Macaca fascicularis: one gene and its partner. The protein of the gene in region 1 interacts with the protein of each later gene in a pairwise test. Links are inferred from orthologs where the notes say so. Each region holds a gene or a part of one and is shown in the gene's direction. Other genes may lie near its edges.

Region 1 (4,384 bases):
TATTTCTAACAAGTTACCAGGTGATGCTGATGGTGGGCATGGGGGGTGGGGACACACTTTAAGAGTTACAGGAATCCGGGGAAGGGAACCATGCAGAAAAACTTTTGAGGACGAGAAAAAAAAATTCCTTTCTGCTCTTGCCACTGATATGAAGAGTTCCATTTTAGGTCCAATGAGAGTCACCCAAGCTTTGGTCAATGCATGTGTCACCCTGGAAGTACCGTCCTTTAGACTTTCAGAGGAGCTTTAAAAATTGGGATACCCAGGTCCCTTCCTTCATTAAATCAGAATTCCTTGGGTTGGGGCCTCTTCCTTGGATCGCTTAAAGCTCCCCAGTTGACTCTCATTGTGGAGGCGCCCACGGGAAGGCCTGCACAGGTGAATTACAACGGGATCTTGCGTTCCAGGTGGGATGCCTCTGAGAATCACCTTCTGAGGCTCCTGAACAACTGCCCCGGCTGGTATAGATAGATCTTCTGGTGGAGAACCACTTTTCAGGGGCCACCCCTGGTTCAGGGACACATGCCACCTTCAGAAGGGAGTGTCTCGTCTGACAGCCCTGGTCTCCTTCCACAGACTCCTGGCAGTCTTTTTTTTTCTTGACTGAAATTTCTACTTTTCACTGGAAGTAGGAGAAGAGCTGAAGTTGCTGTAGGCAGCCAAGTGCCATGGGCAGAGAGGGAACACAAATAAACGAGGTAGTGAGTGGCAGAAAGACCGGGAGTCTGCATGTAGGAGAGACGGGGGTTGGGAGAACGTGAGACTTCCCGGAAAAGCAAGAGCCCTCTGAGAGGAGTGGCCTGGAGTCTCCTTGGAGGCTGTGGGCGAAAGTGGCCAATATTTGTACAGAAGAAGTTACGACTCCCACCTTTCTGACGGATTTCCGCGCAGAGAGTTCAGTTTGAAGGAGAAGATCCTTGGTGTACGTATGTCCAGGTCGCCTTAATAACGATCTACGAGTAACTGAATTTTAATGAAAGCGCTGAATACAGCCAGGTAAAATCGAGGACAACGTCCGGGGCCTTCCAGCCATAGAAGTTTCTCTCTTTTCCCCGCTCTCTGGTTAGTTCCTCTCCCCTTTTCTTGTGTGCACCGCGTGCGTGCCGGACTCCGCCGGGCCGGGTGCGGGTGGAAGGGCAGGTGCTGGCACCGGGGCGCACCTGTGCCTGCGCGTGCGGCGTCCAGCAGGGGGCGGCCCGCGCCGGTCCCCGAGCTCCGCTCTGAGCGCCCCGCCCCCGGCCCGGAGGCCCAGGTGGCAGCGGGGGCGCGGGAGGGCGCGTCGGGCCGGGCACCGGCAGGGCTCAGAGGCGCGGCGGCGCACGGGCAGTCCGCTCTGACGCGCGCGGGTCCTCCCTCCTCCCTACACCTGGGCGGGGAGCGGCGTCGCGCTGCCTCCTCCCCCGGCGCTCGCAACTCCTGTCCGGCCGCTGCTGCGCCGCCGCCGCAGGAGTAAAGGTCGCGCCGCCGGGAGCGAGCCGGCCGCTGTGCCTCCGGGAAGCCGGCGGGGCAGATCGGAGAAGAGCGAGAAGATCGAGAAACTCCAGGCCAGCCCGGGAACATGGCGCCAGGCGGGCCGGCCGCGGACTGAGAGCCGCGGTGCAACGGGGAGCCGGGGCTTGAGCCCCGCCCGGCCCGGGCCATGTCGGTGGGCGAGCTCTACAGCCAGGTGAGCGCAGCCGCGGGAGAGGCGCCGCGGGGCCGGGGCGGAGCGCTCGGGGCCACCTGGCACTCAGGGTCGCCTTCTCCCTCGGCTACTGGAGGCGGGAGGTGACGGGAGACCCCTCCTGGTGTCCCCCGCGTCTCCGTCCTCGGCGTCCCTAACTTCTGTTGGCGGAGAAAGTTTAGCGGTTCCGGGAACGCCCGCACTGACCGGCCGCCCGGCTCCTGGAGATTCCGCAGCGCCACGGCTCAGCCCCAAGCCGGTGCTGTCGCCCCCTCCCCGCCGCGCCCCTCACTTTCGTTGCCTGGGCTGGGTTCCAGCTGAGTTCCCCGAACCGCGGGGGCGACTCTGCCAGCTCTGAGCGCCGTGCTCGGACGGTCCCCCGCGGTGCGCCCGCCGCTGTCCCCTGTCCCCGCCGTGGACCCCGCCCCAGGGGCTCTGCGGCGCCGGCTCTCGAGGGTTCGCCTCCGAGGCGTCCTTTCCTCACGCATACCCACAACAGGGAACCCTGGACTTGGGAGAGGTGGGGGTTCTGGACTTGGTGGAGAGGGAGGAGACTCAACCTGGTGTGAGGGCGCGGCAGCTGGATGGAGTGGGGGTAAGCGATGGGTAGAGGGGTGCTCCGTTATCTCCGGAGACCCCAGGGAAGAGCATTGTGAATTTGCTGGGGATGGGTATTTTGACGCGGCCCCTCTGGTACCAAGAGAGCTTCAGTGACTGTGGGGAAGGGGGTTGGAGTAAAGCCGAACTGGGAGCAGGGTGTGAGTTTCAGGATGCCTTCAAGGTCAGAAGGGATGTGCGAGGCTGGGTGCTCCGAATCCGGAACAGGTGCAGCCTGGGCGGAGACGCCCGCGTTCCGCAGCAGTTGCTGTGGTTAAAGTTAGGGACGAGCCACCGCTTCCAGGGGAGCTGGAGGCAGCGCTGCAGCCGTCCGGGACCCCTCAAGTTTCACCCTGGAGTCAGGAGTGAGATGGGCAAAGGCCTTTTCTTCACATGTGCCCTTTAGGAAAACAAGTTTTGGATAGTCCAATGCCTGGTTTTCCTGTTCATCTTCTTGGGTGGCCAAAACACATTCGACAGTGCCTGTGCACACGCCTCCGTGCAGAGTTGTGTGTGCGTGTGGTGTCCGCGCGCGTTGTGTGGGTGTGCGATTCCTGGGACACCCGCCCGGGCCATCAGGTCTGGGCTGGGTAGGAACAGTCACTTCTGCGTCCTTACCTGGAGAGCACTCGCGGCTGTCCAGCACATGTGGGGGAGCCCTTCTGCTCCGTGGACTGGCAACCCTTCTAAGTTTGAGGAATTTTAAACTCTCGCCTTCCTCCTGGAGCGGGGAGCAGGGCCGGGATGGGTTCACGCTCATGAAGGTGGCCGCGGAGGCTGTCACCTGGCTGGGGGTGGGGACGCAGCAGCCTCAGATACTACTTCCTAGCCCACCAGGGACCTCCTGTGCAGCGATCAGGGATGGGCGACGGCCTCTGGGGGAGGAGGGGAGGAGGCGAGGAGGCGGGAGCCAGGGCGTCAACTCTGTGGCAGTCCTAGGCTTGGAATGGCACTCCACCCCTCTTGGCTGTGGAGGTATTGGGAGGATCCCTAAAAGCTCAGGTTTTTTCCCTGAAGCCGGTTAGGTTTTCAGGAGCTGGGACTGGAGGCTGGAAGCCAGTGAAGGCAGGGGAAAAATCTGAACTGGAGTGCTCAAAGCCGAAGCTTTGTTACATTAAAGTGCATGGAGATGCAAATTGTACTCCTAAGTAAAAGGAGTGACTCAACTGAATATACCTCCAATGTGTCAAAGTCCTTTGTCAGGCAATATTGAATTGCTGTTATTATATGAGGGGGAGAGTTTGTGGGGTAAAATGGAGTTAAAAGTTTAAAAATATAAACTTTATTTCTCAACGCAATTTCCATCAAGTTCAAGACACTTTTGAAAGTTATACCAGCCACCTAGTTCATCCCTAAAGAACCGAGGGTCCTGGGAATTTAACCATGCCAATGCAGTCTTACATTATTAACTGGAAAAAATGCAGGTCATTAACTTCGAGATTAGGACACAAAGTCAGAAGGAGCCAAATCAGGACTGTGAGGTGGACGCCTAATAGTTTTCCATAGAAACTCTTGCAAAATTGCTCTTCTTTGAGAGGAATGAGGAGATTGTTGTGGCAGAAAATGACTTTTCTGGTGACGTTTCCTTGGTGTTTTTCTGCTAAAGCTTTGACTTCCTGAAGACACTTGTAATAAGCAGATGTCATCATCATTTGGTCTTCTAGAAAGTCAAGCAAAATGGCTTGAGCAGTCCTCCAAAATGCTGCTATGATCTCTGCTCTGAACCAGTCCACCTTTGCTGTGACTGGACCTCTTTCACCTCTTGGAAGTCTTTGCTTTGATTGGGCTTTGTCTTCAGGATTATACTGGGAGAGCCACATTTTATCCCCTGTTACAATTCAAAGAAATGCTTCAGGGTCTTGATCCCACTTGTTTAGAATTTCCATCCAAAGCTCTGCTCTTGTCTGCAGTTGATCTGGGTGCAGCAGTTTTGGTATCCATCAAGTGGGAACTTTGCTCAACTTTATTTTCGGTCAGAATCATGTAAGCCGAACCAATTGAGATGTCTGTGGTGTCGGCTGTTGTTTCTACCATTAATTGTCAGCCCTCTTCAATTAGGGAACAGATAAGATGCTTCCCCCCACAAATGGATGTGGATGGTCTGCTGGTGCAGGCTTCATCTTC
Region 2 (4,404 bases), on another chromosome or scaffold:
GATTACAGACTCCCGCCACCACGCCTGGCTAATTTTTGTATAGTTTTAGTAGGGACGGGGTTTCACCACATTGGTCAGGCTGGTCTCGAACTCCTGCCATTGCGATCCGCTGGCCTCAGCCTCCTAAAGTGCTGGGATTATAGGTGGGAGCCACTGCACGAGGCCTCTTTTTTTTTTTTTTTTTGAGATGGAGTCTTGCTCTGTCGCCCAGGCTGGAGTACAGTGGCGCGATCTTGGCTCACTGCAAGCTCCGCCTCCTGCGTTCATGCCGTTCTCCTGCCTCAGCCTCCCGAGTAGCTGGGACTACAGGTGCCCGCCACCTTGCCTGGCTAATTTTTTGTATTTTTAGTAAAGATGGGGTTTCACTGTGTTAGCCAGGATGGTCTCACTCTCCTGACCTCATGATCCGCCCGCCTGGGCCTCCCAAAGTACTGGAATTACAGGTGTGGGCCACCGCACCCGGCCTTTTTTTTTTTTTTTGAGGAGTCTCTGTTGCCCAGGCTGGAGTGCAGTGGCAGGATCTCAGCTCACTGGAACCTCTGCCTCCCAGGTTCAAGCAAGTCTCCTACCTCAGCCTCCCAAGTAGCTGGGATTACAGGCACCCGCCACCACATCCAGCCAATTTTTTTTTTTTTTTGAGACGGAGTTTCGCTCTTGTTGCCTAGGCTGGAGTGCAATGGTGCGATCTCGACTCACCACAACCTCCGCCTCCTGGGTTCAAGCAATTCTCTTGCCTCAGCCTCCCCAGTAGCTGGGATTATAGCCATATGCCACCACGCCCAGCTAATTTTGTATTTTTTTAGTAGAGACGGGGTTTCTGCATGTTGGTCAGGCTGGTCTCGAACTCCCGACCTCAGGTGATCCGCCTGCCTCGGCCTCCCAAAGTGCTGGGATTACAGGCGTGAGCCACCGCGCCTGGCCTCAAGTGGATTTCTTTTTTTTTTTTTTTTTTTTTTTTTGAGACGGAGTCTTGCTCTGTCACCCAGGCTGGAGTGCAGTGGCCGGATCTCAGCTCACTGCAAACTCCGCCTCCCGGGTTTACGCCATTCTCCTGCCTCAGCCTCCCAAGTAGCTGGGACTACAGGTGCCCGCCACCTCGCCCGGCTAGTTTTTTTTTTTTTTTTGTATTTTTTAGTAGAGACGGGGTTTCACCGTGTTAGCCGGGATGGTCTCTCGATCTCCTGACCTCGTGATCCGCCCGTCTCGGCCTCCCAAAGTGCTGGGATTACAGGCTTGAGCCACCGCGCCCGGCCATCAGGTGGATTTCTAAGGGGCTATTTCTTGCTCATTAGTTGGAGGACTTGCCCTCACCACAGATTCCAGAAGCCCAGCAATGCACACTCAGCCCTCAGTGGGCTGTCTCTGAAGGTCCTCTCTCTGAAGGTCCTGTCTCTGAAGGTCCTGTCCCTTTTTAGCTTTCCCCCAACCCCGCTGGAGCTGGTTCTCCAGCTTGCGGGAGGCCAGGCTGACAGCAGACACCCAACCTGTCGAACCTGTCTGACGTCATCGTCTCTCCACCCACCTGGGCCCCAGGTCTCCAGCCACCCTGCTCTTCCTGTTCTCAGCTTCCGTCCTCTCAGCTTCCTTACAGCACCCCCACCTGCCAGAGCTAATCCTCCCTCGGCCCTGCCTAACCTTGAGTTGGCCCCCAATCCCTCTGGCTGCAGAAGTCCCCTTACCCCTAATGAGAGGAGGGGCAGGACCAGATCTTTTGAGAGCTGAGGGTTGAGGGTATTGAGCCAACACAGACTTGTCATCTCTACCCCTGAAGACACCTGTACCCTCCATGCGGAGCCAAGATGGGGAATGGAACTGAGGAAGATTATAACTTTGTCTTCAAGGGTGAGTTGGGTTCCCTGAAGCAAGAGGAAGCCTGAGAGACCCAGAAAGAGATTGATAGAGCCAGAGAGGGCCCCATCCTGGGACTCCTCATTCCTTCAGAAAGAAAGCTGTAGGGAGTGGGGGAGGGCCTGGTTGCAGGGGCAAAAGTGAGGGAGCTTCTGAGTATGCTCTACTGTGGTAAATAATGACGTTGATCCCTCCTTAAGAGTGCTGAGTTAGGCTCCTCTGCCCCGTTCCTAATAGAAACCCAAATCCCTAGTGTCAGCCAGGGCAGCACAAGAGATGGAGGTCAGACTTCAGAAAGGACTTCCCTCTTTTTTTTTTCTTTTTGAGATGGAGTCTTGCTCTGTCCCCCAGGCTGCAGTGCAGTGGCATGATCTCGGCTCACTGCAACCTCCGCCTCCCAGGTTCAAGCGATTTCTGCCTCAGCCTCCCGAGTAGCTGGGACTATAGGCGCCTGCCACCATGCCCGGCTTATTTTTGTATTTTTAGTAGAGACAGGGTTTCACCATTTTGGCCAGGATGGTCTGGAACTCCTGACCTCATGATCTGCCCGCCTTGGCCTCCCAAAGTGCTAGGATTACAGGCATGAACCACCGCACCCAGCCAGGACTTCTCTCTTGAGAAGAAAGGGAAACCAGCAGACAAGAGGAAGAAAGTCATCTTTTCTGGGCAGGTATACAGGGAAGGAGAGAAAGGAGAGACCTATCCCATTATAGGGTGGGGCAATAAATACATAGGGAAGACAGAAAATATCATGAATTTGCCACAGAGTCTGATAGAATCCAGAGGAGTCCTAGGGTTGTAGCCTCGTCTGCCTGTCCCTTGGCCGACTCACTGGATCTGCATACCAGGCACTGGGCTCAACTTGGCTGTCCCTGGAAGCAAGCATGTATCTTTCTAGCCCCTGCTTTTGGTCCCTTTGCTGTTTCCCAGCCCCACCTTCATACTTCCTTTAGGGCAGGGTGGACTCTACAGCCACCCTACCCCGCTGCCTCTCCCAACCTCAGCCCAGCCCTCCCTTGAGCTGGGACTCTCACTCCAGCACCCGCCCTGGATCTGGGGAACCTGTACTACTGGCATCTTTTTCAGGAAGGAAAGGGTTAGCAATAGTCTGGGGCAATAATATGAGGAACTACCATTTATTGAGCATTTACTATATACCAGCCACTACCTCATTCATACCATAACAATCCCCAAAAGTCATCTTTTATTTTGAGGGGCAGTGTAACATGGTCAGGAGCCAGACTGGGTTCAGATCTCAGCCCTGCCACTTACAAGTATTGTGGGTTGGTCAGCCGGGCGCGGTGACTTACGCCTGTAATCCTAGCACTTTGGGAGGCTGAGGCGGCAGGATCACTTAAGGTCGGGAGTTCCAGACCAGCCTGGCCAACATGGGGAAACCCTGTCTCTACTAAAAATTAAAAAATTAGGGCCGGGCGCGGTGGCTCAAGTCTGTAATCCCAGCACTTTGGGAGGCCGAGACGGGCGGATCACAAGGTCGGGAGATCGAGACCATCCTGGCTAACACGGTGAAACCCCGTCTCTACTAAAAAATACAAAAACCTAGCTGGGCGAGGTGGCGGGCGTCTGTAGTCCCAGCTACTCGGGAGGCTGAGGCAGGAGAATGGCGTGAACCCGGGAGGCGGAGCTTGCAGTGAGCTGAGATCCGGCCACTGCACTCCAGTCTGGGCGACAAAGCGAGACTCTGTCTCAACAACAACAAAAAAAAAAATTAAAAAATTATCTGAGTGTGGTGGCACGTGCCCATAATCCCAGCTACTCGGGAGGCTGAGACAGGAGAATTGCTTGAACCCAGGAGGCGGAGGTTGCAGTGAGCCGAGATTGTGCCACTGCACTGCAGCCTGGGCAACAGAGCAAGACTCTGTCTTTAAAAAAAAAAAAAGTATTGAGGGTTGGGGTCCCTAGAAGCAGACGCTGAGAAGTTGGGGTGTTCAATGTTTGTTTGTTTGTTTTTTGAGACGTAGTCTCGCTCTGTTGCCCAGGCTGGAGTGCAGTGGAGTGATCTCTGCTCACTGCAACCTCCACCTCCCTGCAACCTTCGCTTCTTGGGTTCAAGGGATTCTCCTGCCTCAGCCTCCTGAGTAGCTAGGACTACAAGTGTGCACCACCACGCCCAGCTAATTTTTGTATTTTTAGTAGAGATGGGGTTTCATCATGTTGGCCAGGATGGTCTCAATCTCTTGACCTTGTGATCCGCCCTCCTAGGCCTCCCAAAGTGCTGGGATTACAGGCATGAGCCACTGCGCCCAGCTCAATTTTTTTTATGAATCAGCACCTGTGAAAGGAAGGGAGAGGAAACATTATTGGGCAGAGGGAGAAGTTAAACAGCAACACAGGCTCGACAAAACCTGGGTCAAGGGCAGGGAGCTCTGTGATTGCCTCACCTTGCTTGAGCACTGGGTGTAGGCTGCCCAGAAAAGGCATGACTTCCAGTGAGGCCGCTGTCTGCACCAGAGGCAGATGCTGAAGGAGCTGACAGCTGGAGCCTGTCTGCAGCTTGCACTCCCTGCAGCTTGGGGGCAAGTCCTTCCTTGAAGG

Evidence for each region.
Region 2: the proteins of MYO5B (region 1) and RAB25 interact in binary tests that used the Homo sapiens proteins (3 or more experiments, as listed by UniProt). The link is inferred for Macaca fascicularis from reciprocal best matches to the Homo sapiens genes MYO5B and RAB25.

The regions. Positions count from the first base shown.
Region 1 is NC_088392.1:39,551,807-39,556,190, forward strand, and holds the start of MYO5B (unconventional myosin-Vb), read left to right. Parts: upstream 1-1,445; 5' UTR 1,446-1,639; coding exon 1,640-1,666; intron 1,667-4,384. UniProt on the Homo sapiens protein: May be involved in vesicular trafficking via its association with the CART complex. The CART complex is necessary for efficient transferrin receptor recycling but not for EGFR degradation.
Region 2 is NC_088375.1:105,020,015-105,024,418, reverse strand, and holds the start of RAB25 (ras-related protein Rab-25), read left to right. Parts: upstream 1-1,557; 5' UTR 1,558-1,799; coding exon 1,800-1,842; intron 1,843-4,404. UniProt on the Homo sapiens protein: The small GTPases Rab are key regulators of intracellular membrane trafficking, from the formation of transport vesicles to their fusion with membranes.